Drosophila melanogaster: one gene and its partner. The protein of the gene in region 2 purifies or fractionates together with the protein of the main gene of each other region. This does not show direct contact. Each region holds a gene or a part of one and is shown on either strand. Other genes may lie near its edges.

What was found.
Region 1: the proteins of Ptip (region 2) and Usp10 purify together in Drosophila melanogaster (affinity purification with mass spectrometry, with the first as the bait; one large-scale study listed by BioGRID). This does not show direct contact.

What each region holds. Positions count from the first base shown.
Region 1 is NT_037436.4:869,339-878,131, reverse strand, and holds the start of Usp10 (ubiquitin specific protease 10), read right to left. Parts: upstream 5,222-8,793; 5' UTR 5,153-5,221; intron 4,825-5,152; 5' UTR 4,713-4,824; coding exon 4,257-4,712; intron 4,142-4,256; coding exon 3,251-4,141; intron 3,183-3,250; coding exon 2,933-3,182; intron 842-2,932; exon of another isoform or gene 1-841. Other genes in the region: CG12502 (uncharacterized protein), read right to left, coding at 7,536-8,199, 8,266-8,469, 8,531-8,793.
Region 2 is NT_037436.4:14,025,776-14,034,568, reverse strand, and holds the start of Ptip (PAX transcription activation domain interacting protein), read left to right. Parts: upstream 1-5,447; 5' UTR 5,448-5,724; coding exon 5,725-5,799; intron 5,800-6,178; coding exon 6,179-8,722; intron 8,723-8,779; coding exon 8,780-8,793. Other genes in the region: CG6650 (uncharacterized protein), read right to left, coding at 573-824, 886-1,612, 1,672-1,836, 1,926-2,144, 2,199-2,341; endos (endosulfine), read left to right, coding at 3,577-3,762, 4,149-4,322.

The DNA of each region.
Region 1 (8,793 bases), about 13 Mb from region 2:
AAGTTATACTACGCTCATAAATTAACGATCGAAAACTGATACCGATCGCTGGTAGATTGCAACTGTTATACAGCAACCACAAAATATTGTAAAGTAAATTCTATTATTATTATTTGTTTGTTAAAACCTACGATTACTATAATTACCATTATGATTACTATTAAAGATTATTGTGTACTTCTAATAGTTGTTGGCCAGGCGTTATAAATGTGTCATACCGTAGCGATATAGAGATAGAGCGATACATAGCGTGTGTGTAAACTAAAATGTAACTAAGTAGAGGTGGCCCGATTAACTTAAAGAGCGGCAGCAGCAACTATTTCGAGAAATAATAAATTGTATATTTTTTAAGAAAGAACGCTACACAGCAAAACTCAAAGGCGAGAACACAAAGGACCGCAGTAAGAACTAAAATTGTTTTCAATTTTACACTAATCGTTTAGGTGGCAAACTCAAATACAAATTTACGGCTCATTTTTGTAAGTTACTTACTAAACTAAAGTCCAGCAACAGAAAAACCAAGAGTAAATGATTTTTAAGGCTTGTGTATGTCCGTTTTTAACTATCCAAACATATAGCCTAGTAGCTACGAACCATAAGCAATACGGCAAGTGCAGTTCTATACAAACGAAATTGTTCACGCGGCTAAACTAATTAAACAGTATAATATGTACCACAAACAATATTCTAAATCTGTTTTACGCATAAGAACGGGGCAACAAACAGTGAGCAAGTGGGAAACACATCAATGTAACATTTAGAACAATAAGTGTTGAGAAGGAATGAGAAAAGCAGCCAGAATAGTAATAAAAGATATTGCCATAAATTTTAAAAACCGTCGAAACCAATGCGTTTTTGTGGGTGTATCTGGGGTATATGGATAATGGCTTATCAGAAATGAGTTCATTAGAACTTTTCTTCAGTAAGTTTTTCCCTCGTGACCTTCACAACGTTCGGGGAAACCGACAGACATGGACTCAATGGACTGCGCTCTATTTGAATAAGCGTAAGTACTTCTATCAAGAGGTAGCTCGTGAAAGCTCTAGCACAATTATAATCTCCCCGGGGAGCGTGTGCCGCTCTAAAAGACATCGATCAAAAGTTTGCCTTGGACTTAAGTTAATGCATTTATCAAAGAACGTGAAACCCCTTCGATGTCGCGGAAAATCAGATCATAACAAGCTTACTCGTAAAACCCTCGACCCAAATGATTAGCCTAATCAATTTGCCACGATGAGTTATGGCTTCACTAATTGTGGCCGACCAGAGGAATACTGTAGTGTGTATCATTCTCTAGTCAGTGGACAAACACTTGGCGATATCGCCATATGAAAGCCGTCTGCAAAGCCAAGTGCTTCGAAAACAGCCATAAAAGAAAAACCTCTCGACTAGACGGTGCTCGTTGAATCAACGTAGATACAGATACGGTTATGAAAACAACTGGAACCCAATCAGTTGGCAAGACCTCCTCCATTTCGTGAGAGATTCCCAATTCCCATTCCATGTGCATTCAAACACGAGAGGCAATTAAAAAAAAAAACAATTAAATATCTCTAGAATAACCATAAATCAATCAAAATCTTGCAATCTACTGTGTTAATAATCAATGAAGTAATACCTGCACCTATATGCGATTCTGTTTCAACCGCAGCCCAAGAAAACTGGCCGCTGGAAGGGATTAGTAGCCAATCGATCAAATTTCATACAATTCTTTAACTGAAATGGAACCTACAGAATCTACAGTGGTCAAATAGAACCGAATAGATTACCCTACATCTTCTCTGTCCACTTGGCCTTTTGTTTGGTAATTAGGCTTGACAACAGGCAAATATAATACGCCAGGCCAACAGGTTTAGATGAATCCCCCGCATGGGCACATAAAACACTCAATTACGATTGGGAGTGGGAGACGTCCCAACCCGGTATTTTCACTCGGATTTGTCCGCCCATTCGATTGATAAGCGTGAACAATGCACACAAGAAACGAGCAAACAAAATAATAATAACAAAGAACTGGACGGAAGCGACTTGTGCTGCTGATTAGAGAGTGGGTTGTGGATGATTCAGTGGGTGGATGGGTGGTCAACAAGTTCAACACCTGTTGGCGACTACACGACGATAGATGAAAGCCCAGCCCAAAGCAAAAGGGCAACCGAAAACAAAGGTAGGCCTGGCAACAAGCATTCAGAATAATTAAGGCCCACAAACTATGGCAAAATGTGCACACATACGTAAATACGTTTATGTCATTTGACACCTGAGAAGAGTGTAAGGCAACTGAAGAGAATATAGTTAATGAAAGCGTGGAAAAGCAAAGCAAGCAAAAAACTGCATATGAACACGGGACCAGGCGACGCTATCGAAGGCACGCCATGACGAATTCCAATATACTCGTACAACATAGAAAAACTGCCTTTCAATAGATGTAAAGTAACACGAAACGCAGATACTCTGTGCGAAAGTCGTGTTAAAAGTCCACAAAATGATCTCGCTGCCTTTATCGCTGAGCTTGCTCCAAAACAATAACAGGACAAATGCAGAGTTACTTTATAGTTGTGATAAAATATATGGTGATATATATTGAGAGAGGAACACACCACATATGTACAACTAAATCGACTGAAGTTAAGAATTAGTTGACAACAAAAACTCATAATAGTAAGATAGTGAAAAGTCATTGACCCACAACGAGGAGATTATTCAAATACTCATGACTCAGCCAATATACACATTTTTCAATTGGTCTGTGCAAAGTTCTAGTTTTTATACAATTCATAATGATTGATTATTCCTTATCGAGCAACATCGAATGATGCAAGATTATGAACGTTCGGAATGGAAAATGGGAAATTAGACAAAGTGAAACTCAGCTTGCATTATGAATTCCAATTCCCAAATGAATCACTAATCAATACCGAGCACTAGCACTCACCCGTTTGCTCCTGATGTTGTTGTTGCTGCTGCTGTTGGGGAGTGGGTGTTGGTGGCTGCGGAGGTTGCGCCTGAACCAACTGGGCTGGCTGTTCGATTAACAGGGGCGACGTTTGCTGCAAAATGTGATGCGGCGGTGGCGGCAGCAGAGCTGGCTGGACTGCATCCGGAGGGAGGGGCATGGCAGCAGTCCAGGCCACCGGAATAGGGCCTGGTGGCGGTGCTCCGCACTCGGCTAGCTCGTCCTCGTACTATTAACGATAAGAAATGTTTAGTATTGCCATTGTCTTTAGCTTCACGGTATGCCAGGCCCACTTACCTGCGGTAGCGGACCCGCTCCTGGATGGATTGGCTGCAGGGCGGCCATCTGACCATCGTCGAATATCTGCATCACGCCCATTTGGTGCTGCATTTCGTGCATCTGTGGATCGTAGATGGGATAGTTTGGACTGATCATGCTCGACGTCTCCGAGGAGGGCAGGGATGAGCTATTGTGGTTGAGCTCATCGGCTACACTGACAGCACCTCCATTGGGATGCACAGCCACCTGTTGCTGTTGTTGCTGCTGCTGTAGCGCTTCGAAGTCCTCTGCGTACATGGGGCCCTGGTGCCAGATCTGGGTCATTCCGCCGTCCGGCTGAGCTCCACGTTCATCCACTCCCGGCTGGCCAGCGTCTTCGGGTACATACTGGTACTCAGCCGGATGCATCATGGGGTAGATGTACCCACCGTGGTTGAACCACGCAGGATTATACATCAGCGGTCCGGAGATGAAGAGCGGCGTTCCAGTTGCCTGTTGGGCAGCAGTGGCATTGGGGGGAGGCTGCACATTGGCATGTTGGGGTGTGAAGTAGGGAGAGGGATATGGCCCGTAGGCGTAGGTTGGTGGCGCCGCGTAGTACTGCTGTAAGTGCTGCATGTGCGCCTCCGGCGGCGCCAACTGCTGACCAATCTGATCCGGCTGAAGCTGCAGCCCGGGATTGGCTCCGTCCGGCGGTGGCAGTTGCTGCTGCGGCGGAAGGGTGATCAGTTGCTGCTGCTGGAGGTGACGTGGCCCATGGTAGTCATTGCGTCGCGGTCCACCGCCACGGGGACGACCTCGTTCGCGCATCCGTCCGCCACCCATTCTAGGACCATGGGGATTCGGAGATCCGCCCTGGGGCGCCAAATTAATGGGCACAGGCTGCAGGTGCGGCATCACCGTGTTGCCCTGTGTGGAATAACAAGTAAGAAGGTCAGTAATGTAGGTGCTAGCTAGTAACAATGCTTAGTAATTAGCGAAATTATCGAACAGATGTATATAGATCCTGTTCTGTTTCACCCACCTGCTCCTGGGGCATGTCGCCGTGTCCAATGTAGTGATGCTGACCTCCGGGTGGCATATAAGCCGGAACACCGTGCGGCCAGCCATGCAGGTTCACATTGGCAGTGACGTTGTTCACATAGACGTGATTGCTGGGCATCGGAGCGGGGATCATGGCCGGGTAGTGGGCTCCGGCGTGCGGGTGTCCTCCGTGGGCGGACATATAGACGGGTGGATTGTACACTGGCTGTCCGGTTGGAGTGAATGCCTGGACGGGCGTCATCAAGTTGTTGTTCCCGGATGGTGAGACCAGGGTGTTGTTGTGATGGTTGTTGTTGTTGTTGCCATTATTGCCGGGTCCGCTGCTCACGCCAGACGGCTGGGGCGTCGAGGGCGTTGAGATGGGCGTGGCTGCTCCTCCGCCTGCCGCGCCGGAGGATCCCGCCGTCGTGGAAGCCGACGACGACGTGGATGCCATGGCTTTGAGGCCAAAGGTTAGAAACTTGGCTCAAATTCCGGTTGAATGTACTTGCGGATTTAGACGAGTCTCAAGAGTCGCAGCAGGCGCCAAACATTGAAATTGGTTTTTGCTGATCGGAAAGAGAGCGCATAGCAATTGATTAATTAGTACATTAAGGAGATAATTATATAAGACTGGGCAATCAATATTAATTATGCACGCAGTCGAAAGAAGAATACACCATTTATTAGAGTCCCCTAATTAAATTTATTAATATAAAGTATGGGGGCATGAGGGTAATGATTCAAAACAATTTCTATTGACAAGACCAACTGTTGAATACTATGGCTGATTCTACAAATCTTGAGCCGCACGTTTAAATATATCACATCAATAAAGTAACTTCAATTCTAACACTAGCTTATGCAGCTGGAGCGCACAAATTCATTATATTTTACCCGACGCAGGTTAAATTCTAATTAAATGCGATTTTCAATTCACGCCACTCCGCGTGCCGCAGCCAGAAAAGCGATCTGGCAAGGCCGCACAGCTGTGATGAGACGGTGTAATGAGAAAATCAAATAAACAAAGCAAAAGAGACGCATAATTTAAATAAGGCTTACACGGGAATTATCTCAAATGTAGACGCATTATAAATGCATATTTATCAAACAAAACTAACTGCTGCCCATTGCATTTCTGGACATTTTCTGGACGATTTTTTGGTGCCACACGGCGCCCGCTAGAGATGAGTAATTGCGACGATTTGCCGGCTCACGTAAATATCGGTCACGAATGTAACAGGTTCAAAGGGCTCTTTTAATGGGTTTTTCTAGATTAGAAGTTGGTCATGGAAAGTGAAATGACTTCGGCATGGAAGCTGGTCGTTCATCTTGAAAACTACCTGCATTTGACAGACATTCATTGCTGTTCTTTGGGAGTTTTAAATTACTCATCTCTGCCGAACACAACACACATACACCAGCACATGCACGCACTCACACACACGCACACATGCACACACGGAGAGGCAGGGCAAATGGAAGAAATGGGAAAATAACGTTCGCTGGAAGCAAAAAGTCCACGATTCCCTACTAGTTGCCAGGTTTACTTCTTCCGAGTTTTATGTAAATGGAGGAGCCAGGTGTTTGGTGTTATTATTGTGCTAATTTCGTGGGCGCCGGGGCGGGTGTATCGAACGTACCTTTTGTTGAGTGGCCAATTGAAATCAATTTTGCAATTTGATCATATTTTATGCGTGCGGCAATCTCTCTCCTGCTCTCTCTTTCTCCGCGGTGCCACGATAATTCCGCAACTTTTTACACGCTGCTGCTCCAAATTCTGCTGCTTTTGCTGCCACAAATTAACATTGAGGCGGGCAGTTGCGCGGGGTCACAGGTCTCGGGGCACGGGCGAGAGGTCACCGGTTAACACGGCACTCGGCGATCCCTATATTGCTGAGGGCCACAAACGTTTTATTGTTCTCTATTTTTCGGCCGAAAAACCTTCCTGCTCCCAGGGTTGTCGCAATTCGATGACAGTGCGATAATCGTCGGCGCGTGCTATCGATGGCCAGGGTGGCCACCCGCCTGCAACCGATGGCAACGCTGTGGAAAATTGGCGGGTAATTTGAATGCTTGACTATGTTATTAAAACCTATTTCGGACGTATTCGACAATACAAAACACCAAGACTATTATTAGACACACATTGTTTGTTTTTATTTATGCAATATTAAACATGCAATGAACAATTATACAAAAATTCGCTGCACATCAACAGAGATTCGTGTTCGGCCTTCCATTTAAACCAACTCGGGCATTTTGAATTTTCGGATTGCTGTGGGATTTTCAACATCTATTATGGAACGAGAAACATTGTAATTGCATGGATTACAAATAAACACTCAGATATATAATCGTATAGGTACATATAATGCTGTAATGTGGGGATTAACACTGAGAGCGTACAACTAATTATATATGTGCATCGAACTTAATCCGTGTTCCGATTGCTTTTCATTGACTAGTTTTCCATTCGCCATTGACCAATTTTGTAAATCAATTTGCCTAATCAGTCTTTACTATAAGCTGATTGTACTTTTTACAGGGTATGCACAAGTCTGGCATTTATTTGGCCACGCCCTCGTATTTAGATCGTTGTGAGTACACATCCTCGTAGAGATTAGCATTAACATTAACCGATAAATAGTATTGATAACAACGGTACACCCAACGGGACATTTCGGCCCCAGATATGGGATCGTAATAACGTGATATATCTCATATTCTAACAATAGGAAGACTAGTGACGACAGCTGCGATCAAAATAATATCTCTATGTGTTTTCCAACCAACTGCGCTTCCAAGAATAGGCTTTATTTTGATTCAAAAAGATCGTTTGATTTTTCAGCTCTTTGAAATATGAACTAAAAACAACCTTAATCAGTTGGAAAATATGTCTGAAAATAAATCTGAGACTATTGGAGGAAATCTAAAAAAAATGCACACCAATCCTTCTACGTTTCATGCTATAATTATTTCGATCGCAACTGAAGTTATATTTTTAATAACATCAGTTTATCAAGTTAATAGACGTCGTTGAAGTTAGTTCGTTAGTTGATTGCTTAGGCCCGAGGCAACACAGAGATAATTGCTGGTATATATATATATATATATATATATATACTCGTTTAACACTTATCTAGATACGATCTAGGGGTTATAAAAATAAACGACACGCACACGCACAAAAATACATATACAAACATCAATCGAGTTGCTAAAGTAATTGTCGATGGCTGCTGGTTAAACGCTAAGAAGTGGGTGTATCCATTCGATCCTAGGGATCCTGATCCTGGATTGATTCAGTTGTGTGGGAATTGCCCGGCTGTGTCGGAGGCGGGGGTGGAGAAGGCGGGGTACTTGGATGCAACTCATCCGCATCTATTTCGATCTCAATCGAGTTCTCCCGCTCCGTGATCTCCGGCATTTTGAGGGAGAAGCTGCTCAACTTTCGCTCCGCAGATCCCAAGGAGCCCTGGGAGTCGGCTTTCAGCAAAGTGGTCCTCCTCTCGTTGATGACCCTCAGTGAATCGTACCTCTGCTCATCCGCACTGCCACACCCACCGTTTTCAGCCAATCCCCTTTCCATGGACCGTATGTAGAAAACGGAATCATCCCGCTCGTTTGGAACACCTTTCTTGGGCCTGTAGAACTGGCGGGAACTATTGCTCCTGTATAGCGGATTGGCCACTGGCCTCGGATCCTCCTCCTGCTCGCTGCGCGCGAGGGGCAGGAATCCCGGACGAGCCTTTTTCGGCGGCAAGCTGCTCGTGTGGTGCTGCAGTTCGGTGATCTCCTCGTAGGACGCCTTGGGCTGTGTCGTCTCCTCCTGCTCCTCCGACTGATCCAGACTCTCCTCGGGAACGGCTGGCTCCATGCTGGATTGGCCCGACAGCTGGCGCACCGGTGGCGGTGGCTCCGAGCATACAGATAACTGACTCCTGCAAGGAAAACCGAGTTAAAATCTATTTGGGAACTTGATTTGGAGGGGTACAACATGGACATACCGAAACTCCTTCTCCACGGAAGGCGTGGCCGATGGACCCGAGCTGTAGCGCTTGGGCGAACGGAGAATGGATTTGGGCATCACTTCGGGACTATGAAGATCTACTTGAACACGCCGAGACTCGATACTGGATGTTCGACTGGCCATGGAGGCACAGCGAGCCGTCCAGCGGCCGCTATACGAGGAGTCCGACATTGTAGAGTTCCTGTAAGCAATGGTATATGTTATTAGCCAGCTAGAGGAGCTATTGGACACCTTGAACTCACCGCCTGTGTCCCAGCGGACTGCGACTGTGATCCCGTGCCTCCTCCTGCTCGATGGGTCGTTGCCGGGAGAGAACGTGCCGCTTGGCGGTGTCCGACCGCTTGTTCCGCTCACTGCGCTTCTCTGCGCCGGAACTCATGCCCAATCCGGGCGGATGATTACTGCCGCCGTCAAAGGAGGAGGCCTGCCAGTAGACACGACTAGCAGCTGGTGGCTGGAGCAGGGAGCACTCCCTGGTGGCCCTCTGGATCAGGCTGGAGGAATT
Region 2 (8,793 bases):
CTTTTTGTTTCAAATAAAAATGTTTCAAATATTTCGACAAATACAGGGAACTTAAGGTCACAACTATCTTTCAGTGCTGAATCGCTTGTTTAATTCGTTGAGGCATTTTTCATTATGATTTGAAACCAAGTGCGCAAAACAAATTGTAAGTAGGAATGGCTCAAATATGTCAAAAAAGTAAAATTAGTGACTAACATAACTTAGGACTAGGTGACATTCGTTTCCGAGTTTCGATGCTGTTGCATTAGGAATAATTTTGAACACGTGGAATTTACGTTTATGATGAGAAGGCATACATATACAGAATTCAGCATCTTCGCCTAAAACTCATCTGGATATGTGGTCTCATGGGATTCGTTGCTTTCTTCGTGCTATCGGTTGAGCATATTCGTCAGATTTGTGTGAAGGTAACGCGTTTCTAAGGTCACTAAGGTGCTAAACATGCCGAGTTCATGTCCATCCAGCGGGGGAATGCATCGGGGTTTCGTCCTGGCCTTCTATTCGAGTCTTTCATTGCAGGTTTCTAGTGAAATACTATGCAGTCTTTGCCTGTCCCATTGTGATAGCCGATCCTACAACTGTGCCGCGAGTCCGGAGGCAGAGATGTTGTCGCCAGCCCCAGCCGTTTTTCTGGCTTCGCGACACACCAGCACCGGGGCCACACAGATTTCCACCTCTAGCCGTTGCCGGTGACGACCGTACTGGATATACTCCCGCCAACAGGGCACGGGACTGGCTGCACCAATGCGCATTCGCGGCGCATCCGCCTGAGCCGAGGTGGCGAAACTGTCATCTAGAACCTGCAGCACTGCCTCCGGGTTAATCTGCGGATGAAAGAATTATCAGTTCAAAACTAAAACATACTACACATAAATGCGTACTCACAAATTGGGATTTGCAGACGTATCGGTGAGCAGTGAGCGCTGCCTTTGCAGCGGCAGCACGTGTGTTTTTCCACTTGGAGCCCGCTGTGGTAAGGATCGCCTGATAGGCCAACGTGTGCACATGTATGCGCGAGATAGAGCGACGCTTGGCATCGCTTGAGCTTCGGTCTTCGTAATCTTCAAGGAGACTAATGAAAACCTGCCGCATCTGGTCAAGGGTGTGAGCTATGCGCGGATTCCAGTCGGTGGCTAAGGTCGTCCGTCCGTGAGCAAGAACCTGCTGCAGGTTAGAGAGCTCTTGTTCGTTCATTCCCAGGGAGTCTACGTAGGGCAGTACAAAGTGTCGAAGCTGTTGAAGCAGCTGCAACTCCACGTAAGAAGCCATCTCGAAGTGGTTCAGAGTGCCCTGCGGCTGGCTGGTTAGTTGCCTTTGTACTTGCTGCAGGCGCGCCTCTCGCTCACCAGACTTAAAGGTGAACATGTCCATCATTTGCAGCCCGCTGACAACCAACAGCTGTGGCTGATACATCTTCAAAGCATCCGTCAACTGCTCCACGGCCCGCAGATGCGGATTATTTCGATCGTTGTGCAGAATGTAGCGATTGGCGCGAGGTGCCACATATGGGCCCCATTTGTCACCAGCCTTGTACTCCAGAATAAGATGGATGTCATCGTTTGGAATCTCGTCACCAGCCAGACGAATCTCCTTTGGCAGCAGTGGCCGCAGCCTGAAGAAGTTTTTACATTAAGTTCCATGAAATAATTTGTTATTCAGATAGGTAATTACTTTCTAGACATGTGGGCGCCCAGTAGCACTTGAGCTCCCTCCATAAAAAAGCGCACGGCCATCAGTGGGGCGTTACCACCCATGTACCAATTGATCCTCTCCTTGTCCATCACCTTGGCGTAGCCCACCAGCTGTGTGAAGAGGGTACTGTTTGCCATCACTCGCCTGAAAAGTGGACCAGTATGAAATACTTTGTTAGTAACTTGCATAGCCAATAAAATATTGGATATCCAAGATCCTTCCATGCAACTTACTCCGCTGCAGCGCCGTTCTGAAAGTAATAGGCAAAGGACTGCAAGAGCTCGTCCTCGTTGTTCACGACCGCCCGAGATCCTGTAGTGGCTGCTGCGACTGGAATCCGGCGCCCATAGTAGCGATCCAGAAATTCAGTGGCGTTTATCTGCAAGTCCGTGCAGGCTCCGTAGCCGATGGCCACCTTGGGTGCCGGTTCCAACGCGGTCCGCTTCAGGGATCTGAAATACAAATGCATATATAGCTAGTGCTGCAGTGTAGCCGAATGAACTCACCCCTCGATTGCCAGGAGACCGGTGAGCAGGACAGTCGTCCTGTTAAGCGTCTGCAGGGCGATGAATGCCTGCCAAATTATGGAAACAAAGGCCGTTAGGACGGAACAGCCGGTGATCCATCCCATGTATCGCAGGGCGGTCATTGTGGGCGTGGATTGTTGTGTGATTGGTTCGCCTCAGTTTGGGCTTTCCAAACTATTTTGTATGTGACAATCCGCCTTCCGGCTACGCCAACTTTCTTATCAGAATTATCGCTCTTTTTCCTTTGAGATGCTTCAAAGCTAGCGATGACACTATCTGCAGTTCTTGGACTACAGCGATAGTCCAACCAACAGTTACATTTGAATGCTATACTGCTATACTATATTTGAATATATTAAAATAAATTTAAATTGAAATGTGCACTTATAAGAGCGCCCTCTCAATGTGTTAATTTGTTCAATGCATAGAACAGCTTACATTGTGTTTAAACATCTTTTTTTGAGCATATTTTTTCGCTAACATATTGGGAATATGTATGTTTATTTGATCCTCGTAGTTTATATTTTAATTTTTTAAGCAAACAAATAAAATTGCAATTGCTTATCGATGACAACAATGGTTTGAGCCACAGCTACTCGAAGCTGGACAGTTCAGTATTGAGCAACTGTAGTTTCGATAAACGATATGTTCCGAAATAACGCCTTCTGCTATCGAAGACAGTCTTGCGTCTGTAAAGTGATAAAATAATTTTACAATTGAGTCGCCTTGGGAATTTCAGTCACTCTCCACACACCAAATACATAGCTCGTGTAACAGCCTGATTTAGTCGAACAGCACATCATTTGCCGGAATCGTTAGCGAATAGCAGCACTCTCCGCTAAGTCGGCACGCTAATTGGCAAAACCGATTCGATTCCAGGGAAGGAGACACACTGATAGACGGGTGAAGAACAAAAGGAGAAGGAAAACAACAGTTAATCGTCAAATTTTACAGGCAAAAGGTGAGCAACTACGCCTTGCACACAAACAACCGCATCGACGAGCAAACGCACGCACACACAAGCCTTATCGCCTGCGTAGTGGTTGGTGTATATAAAAAATTAAAACAATATTTGCACATCCGATTATTACTATAATATTTCGCGTCCACATATATTAGCAAGTGTGCGTGCGCCTGCCCTGGATTTACGTGCCAGTGTTTGTGCGAGCCTAGCGCGTTTGTGTCTGTGTGTGTGTGTAATGAAATGCAATTTTCTCTTGGCATTTTGCGCGCCTCCGATTTTCGCTGCCCCTCTGCAATTCCGCCGCCTCCCCCTCCTTTTGCCATTTAAGTTCTCCCGTGTCGCCATTGTCGCACCTTGGCTAATCCCAGTACTATCACCCGTAGGCAGCACACAATGAGCTCCGCGGAAGAAAACAGCAACAGCCCGGCCACCACGCCCCAGGACACCGAGACCACCGAGCAGGCTAACCTCACGGATCTCGAGAAGATCGAGGAGGAGAAACTCAAGTCCAAGTATCCCAGCGGAATGCGCGTGCCGGGCGGACACTCGGCCTTCCTCCAGAAAAGGCTGCAGAAGGGGGTAAGTGATTAGCACAATTCGAAAACAATCAAACAATAAGTTTACTAACTTTCGGTGTTCGGGGATACCCAAACCCTGTAATATGAATATCAATTAAAAATAATAATAATAATATTATTTAGTAGTATTTAGTACCCGTTGTTTAAAGGAAAATAACAATTCATGTTTCCTCTATTCTAAGATCCATACTATTTGGCAATTGCTTTCTGAAATCAATGAAACTCAATAATCACAGCGCATAGTTTATATCAACTTGATGATCTGGTAAACGAAATCAGATTGTTACATTAAGTTTGCATTTGGAAGATATCTCCGTTTTAGTTCTAAAAAGCTATTTGATTATATAAGAGAAATCTAATATGTATTCCTTCATATCCTTCCCACAGCAAAAGTTCTTCGACTCGGGCGATTACCAGATGGCCAAGCAGAAGGGTGGCGGCGTCAAGCAGGTCTTTGCCAACAAGGTGACCACCGGGGAGGCCATTCCCACGCCCGAAACCGTGCCGGCGCGCAAGACTTCGATCATCCAACCCTGTAACAAGTTCCCGGCGACGAGCTAATTTACTCACCACTCAACACTCACCTCTACTGTATCCACAACCTCAAGTGCAGCCAGTTCTCCGTTCCCCACTTCAAATGCTCTATACCTAATTTTAATGAAAAACCTAATGCTAAGATGGCTGCTGCCGGATTGTGCGGGCATTTCGCGACAGTTTAAACTGAAATTCTAGCACCATGTTCCGTGTTTCCCCCGTTAAATTCAATCGCCATCCGCACTGGCCAATCAATCTCAAGATCAACTCATCAGTCCATCTCTCAGGCCGGGGAAGCGAAGATGGCGAGCCGAGCAGCGCGAAATTTATTGCAACAGTTATATATATCTCTATCTTTGTAACATTAAACTAACTTACCCTCGTCGTACATAGTTGTAAGTATTACGAGCATAATAAATTTAAGTTGGAGCAGCCAGCCACACACACACACACGTTCTCGTACATTACTGGGATTCCATCAAAAGTTTTTAAAAGTTCACCATGTTCTATGGAAAATGTTTTTATATTTTTTTTTTTGCATTCATTCTATAAGCAGTTGACGGAATTTCACCAACTAATTGATAATAACATAGGTACTGCTGCTTGCAGAGCTAAATTTTTGATGCAAAAACCAAACAGTCGAGTTAAAATGAATTTGTAAATCAAGCAGAGCTAAAATAAATGTATGTACGTATACTTATAAATGTGTTGATTTCCTGGGGCGCTAACCCAACAACTGAATCGGAAATGTGCCATACAAATGTTTACTTAAATTATAAGTGCCCGGAGTGGAGTCTAATTAACTAGGAAACGTTCCTTCGAGCGGTGTGGTATGGTAATTGGTTGTTCAAATTGGACGGGAACGAAATGAAATCACCAAAATAGGTGGGAAATACACAATATTTAATACAAATAGATGGGTTCATATATTTTCATACGAACATCGTGTTTTAGTTAAAAGTTAATCGAACTTGCAAAGTGAGTTTTAGGCCCAATTAAAAAAGTTTTAACCAATAAAATCGCTTTTTGGACCACAGTACAAATGAAATCAATCAAATATCCAAGTTTTCCACCAATCGATACCAGCAGATTAAGCATCCATATTGCCACACTTCTGGAACTATCGATAGTATCGCATAAACAGTGTTTTGTACCAACTCTAGGCGGAAGGCGCAGCGGTGATAAAAGAGAAAAAGTGATCTTTAAATGCAATTTTTCGGTTCCAAATTGCATTTGTTATGTGCTACGCGATAAGCACCGCATCGCACACCGTTTTTCGAAGTTCGCAAATGGCCAAGATCAGCGGAAAGACGAGAAAACACGCTGCAATGTAGATGCCCACGAGCAGCCGCGGCAGCAGCAATAACAAAAGCAAAAGTGAAATTAGCGCCGCCAGAGAAGTGCAAGTGGTCAAACAAACGGCGGCGCCATGGAGAACCTCAAGATAAGCGACAAACTGTTCGAGGATGTGATATACTTTGTGCTGGGAAATCTGGACGAGGAGGTAAAAAGCTGCAAAGCGAATCTTTCGTTTGCTGTTGCTGTACTTGCATTGTGCGTACGTGTGTGTGTGTTTGTGTGAGCGGGTGTGCGTGCGTCTCACAGGGTGGGTTGGAGCGCGGGCGGACAGGGTAACCCGGGCACCTTGGCAAATGCGCGCCATAAAAGTTGCCGGCAAATTGCCGTGTTTGTGTGTTTGTGTACTGGAGTTTGTATTGGTGCTAAATCAACTGATTTTTGTTTTGGTTCTCCTCTACCAACGGAAGCAACATATTTGGCACCCTTGAAAAAAGAATTCTTATTTGGTCACATACATATATCTTTTATATATACTGTTTAAATCAAGTAATGTAATAAATAATTATTATGCCTTTGCCTTGCAGATCGAACGCTTTCTTAAGAGCGGTGGCGCTCAATCGAAACTGTTCCTGTCGGACCAAATCACCCACATGATATGCGCCACCAACTACAACGAGGAGGAGCTGTCCATGAACCTGGACCTCTACAGTGCAATTCCCGTAACGGAGCAATGGATCGTGCACAGCGCCAAGCTAGGCCGAATGGCCTCGACACGGGCTTTCGACCCGAGTCCGAATCAAATGCGGTTGATGCGCGGCATTCGGGTGGCCATCACCAATGTAGTGGCAGGGGATCGAAGGCGTCTTTACGCCATGCTGACATACCACGGTGCCGTAGTCACGCACAGCTTTGGGGCCACCAACACGCATCTGGTGTGCGGTGCAGCCAACGGTGGCATCTACAACAAGGCGCTGGCCCTGCCCAAGAATGCCATCATTATTGTGACGCCCGACTGGGTGACAGATAGCCTTAAGTACAAAAACTGCATGCCCGTGGAGACGTATCATCCGAGACTGCTGAAGCCCATTGAAAAGCAGCGAACACAAAAGCAGCAGGCTACGCAGCAGCAACAAATTCAGCAGCAGCAGCAATTGCAGCACCAACACCAGATGCAGCAACAACAGCAGCAGCAGCAGCAGCAGCAACAACAACAACAACAACAACAACAACAACAACAACAACAACAACAACAACAGCAGCAGCAGCAGCAGCAGCAACATCAACAGCAGATTATCCAGCAACAGGCAACGGCTACTTCTGCCCTATCTGACATCCTTGGCTTTGGCGAGGACAGCGTAGCTGCCAAGAGCATCGCTAGCATTAAGTCTCAGCTGCAGGCTTCAGCTGAACAAATACAGCAGCAACAGCTGCCCGTACCCGCACAGCAGCAGGTGGTCTTTGTGCGCCCACAGCCACAACCCCAACAGCCAGCACAACAATCCCCTCACCAGTTACAGCAAGGTGGTCCTCAAGCACCTACTCCTGCACCACACCCGCAGCATCAACAACAATTAATAATTCAGCAGCAGAAGATTATCCCCGCCAACCTGCAGCAGCAACCACAAAACCAGCAGCAAATCAAAAATATCCTACAGCAGAGACAAATGAAAACAACGCAGCAGTCTCAGCAACAGCAACAAATCCAAATGCAACTAATGCAGCAGGAGCAACAGCCGCATCCTCAACCACTTCAACAGCAGCTTGCGCAACAACACCCGCAACAAATCGCACAGCAACTTCCACAGCAACTTTCTCAACAACATCCACAACAAATTCCTCAGCAACAGCAGTCGCCCCGACTGCCAACGACTCCAACAGGCCGGCAGACACCACGTACACCATCTACAACGCCGCAGCCCGTGCAATCCCCTCAGCACCACCAGCAGATAGTTCAACAGCAACAGGTGGTGCAGCAACAAGTGGGCCAGCAGCAAACGATGGTACAGCAGCAGCAGATAGTTCAGCAACAGCAAATTGTTCAGCAGCAAGTTGTTCAGCAACAGCAGCCACAACAACAATCTGTGCCGGTTTCGCCGCAAATCATACACCAACATCTAATGCGGCAGCAACAAATTTTGAACCAGAATCAAATGCAATTGCAGCAAATCGTGCAAAGCGGACAAGCATTGACGCCGCAACAGCAGCAGCAACAGAGACAAATTCAACAACAGCTGCAACAAGTTATGCAGCAGCAGCAGCAATTACAGATGCAAATGCAGCAGCAACAACAGCAACAGAATCTACAACAACAACAGTCGCCTCGGATGGTGCAAAACCGTTCGCCGGTAATGCCACCAAGTACGCCATCCCCATCGTTGCAGCAACAGCAGCATCATGCAACTAGCAATATGTTGCCGCCACAATCGCCGCGACAACTGCAATCCCCAGCTCCCCAAATGACTCCGCCACCTCCGCCCTCGCCGCAAAACGCCCAGCAACAACATTTGCGCCAGCAACAGCAAATGCAACAGAATCGACAACAGCACATGATGGGCTCGCCACAACAACCTCAACCACAATCTATGATGTCGCCGCAACAGCAGCAACAGATGCAGCCCTTTCAACAGCCCGTCCATCAACAGCAGCGCATGCAATTGCAGCAGCAACAACAATTGGCCCAACAGCAGCAACAACAGCAACAGCAGAGTCCCCAGCATATTTCTCCGCAATCGCCCCAGATTTCTCAAACTCCACCCATGCAGGCAAAGCTGCATCAGCATCAGGTGGTTCCTGGACAAGCCACTCAGCCGCAGCAATCATTCTCCCAGCAGAAGCCTATCGACCCAACGGACCCCGTTCAGGTAGCTCAAGTGCTCAGTCGATCTGCATTGAGCAGCAATCAGGACTCGTTGATAATGAGGCAGCAACAATTGAAGCAGCAACAACAGATGCAACAGCAACAACAAATGGCACCGCAGCCCCAGCAGCAGCAAATGGCACAGCAACCGCAACAGCAGCAGCAGCAGCAACCACAACAGCAGCACACCCCTTCTCCGCGACAATCGCCACTGCAACAGCAACCTACTACCCCCACCTTGCAACAGCAGCCAAACCAACAAAACGCTCAAGTAAAATAAAGAACATATATTATTTTTTACCGGAAATTAATGATTACTTCTTTTTAGCAAATACAGCAGCA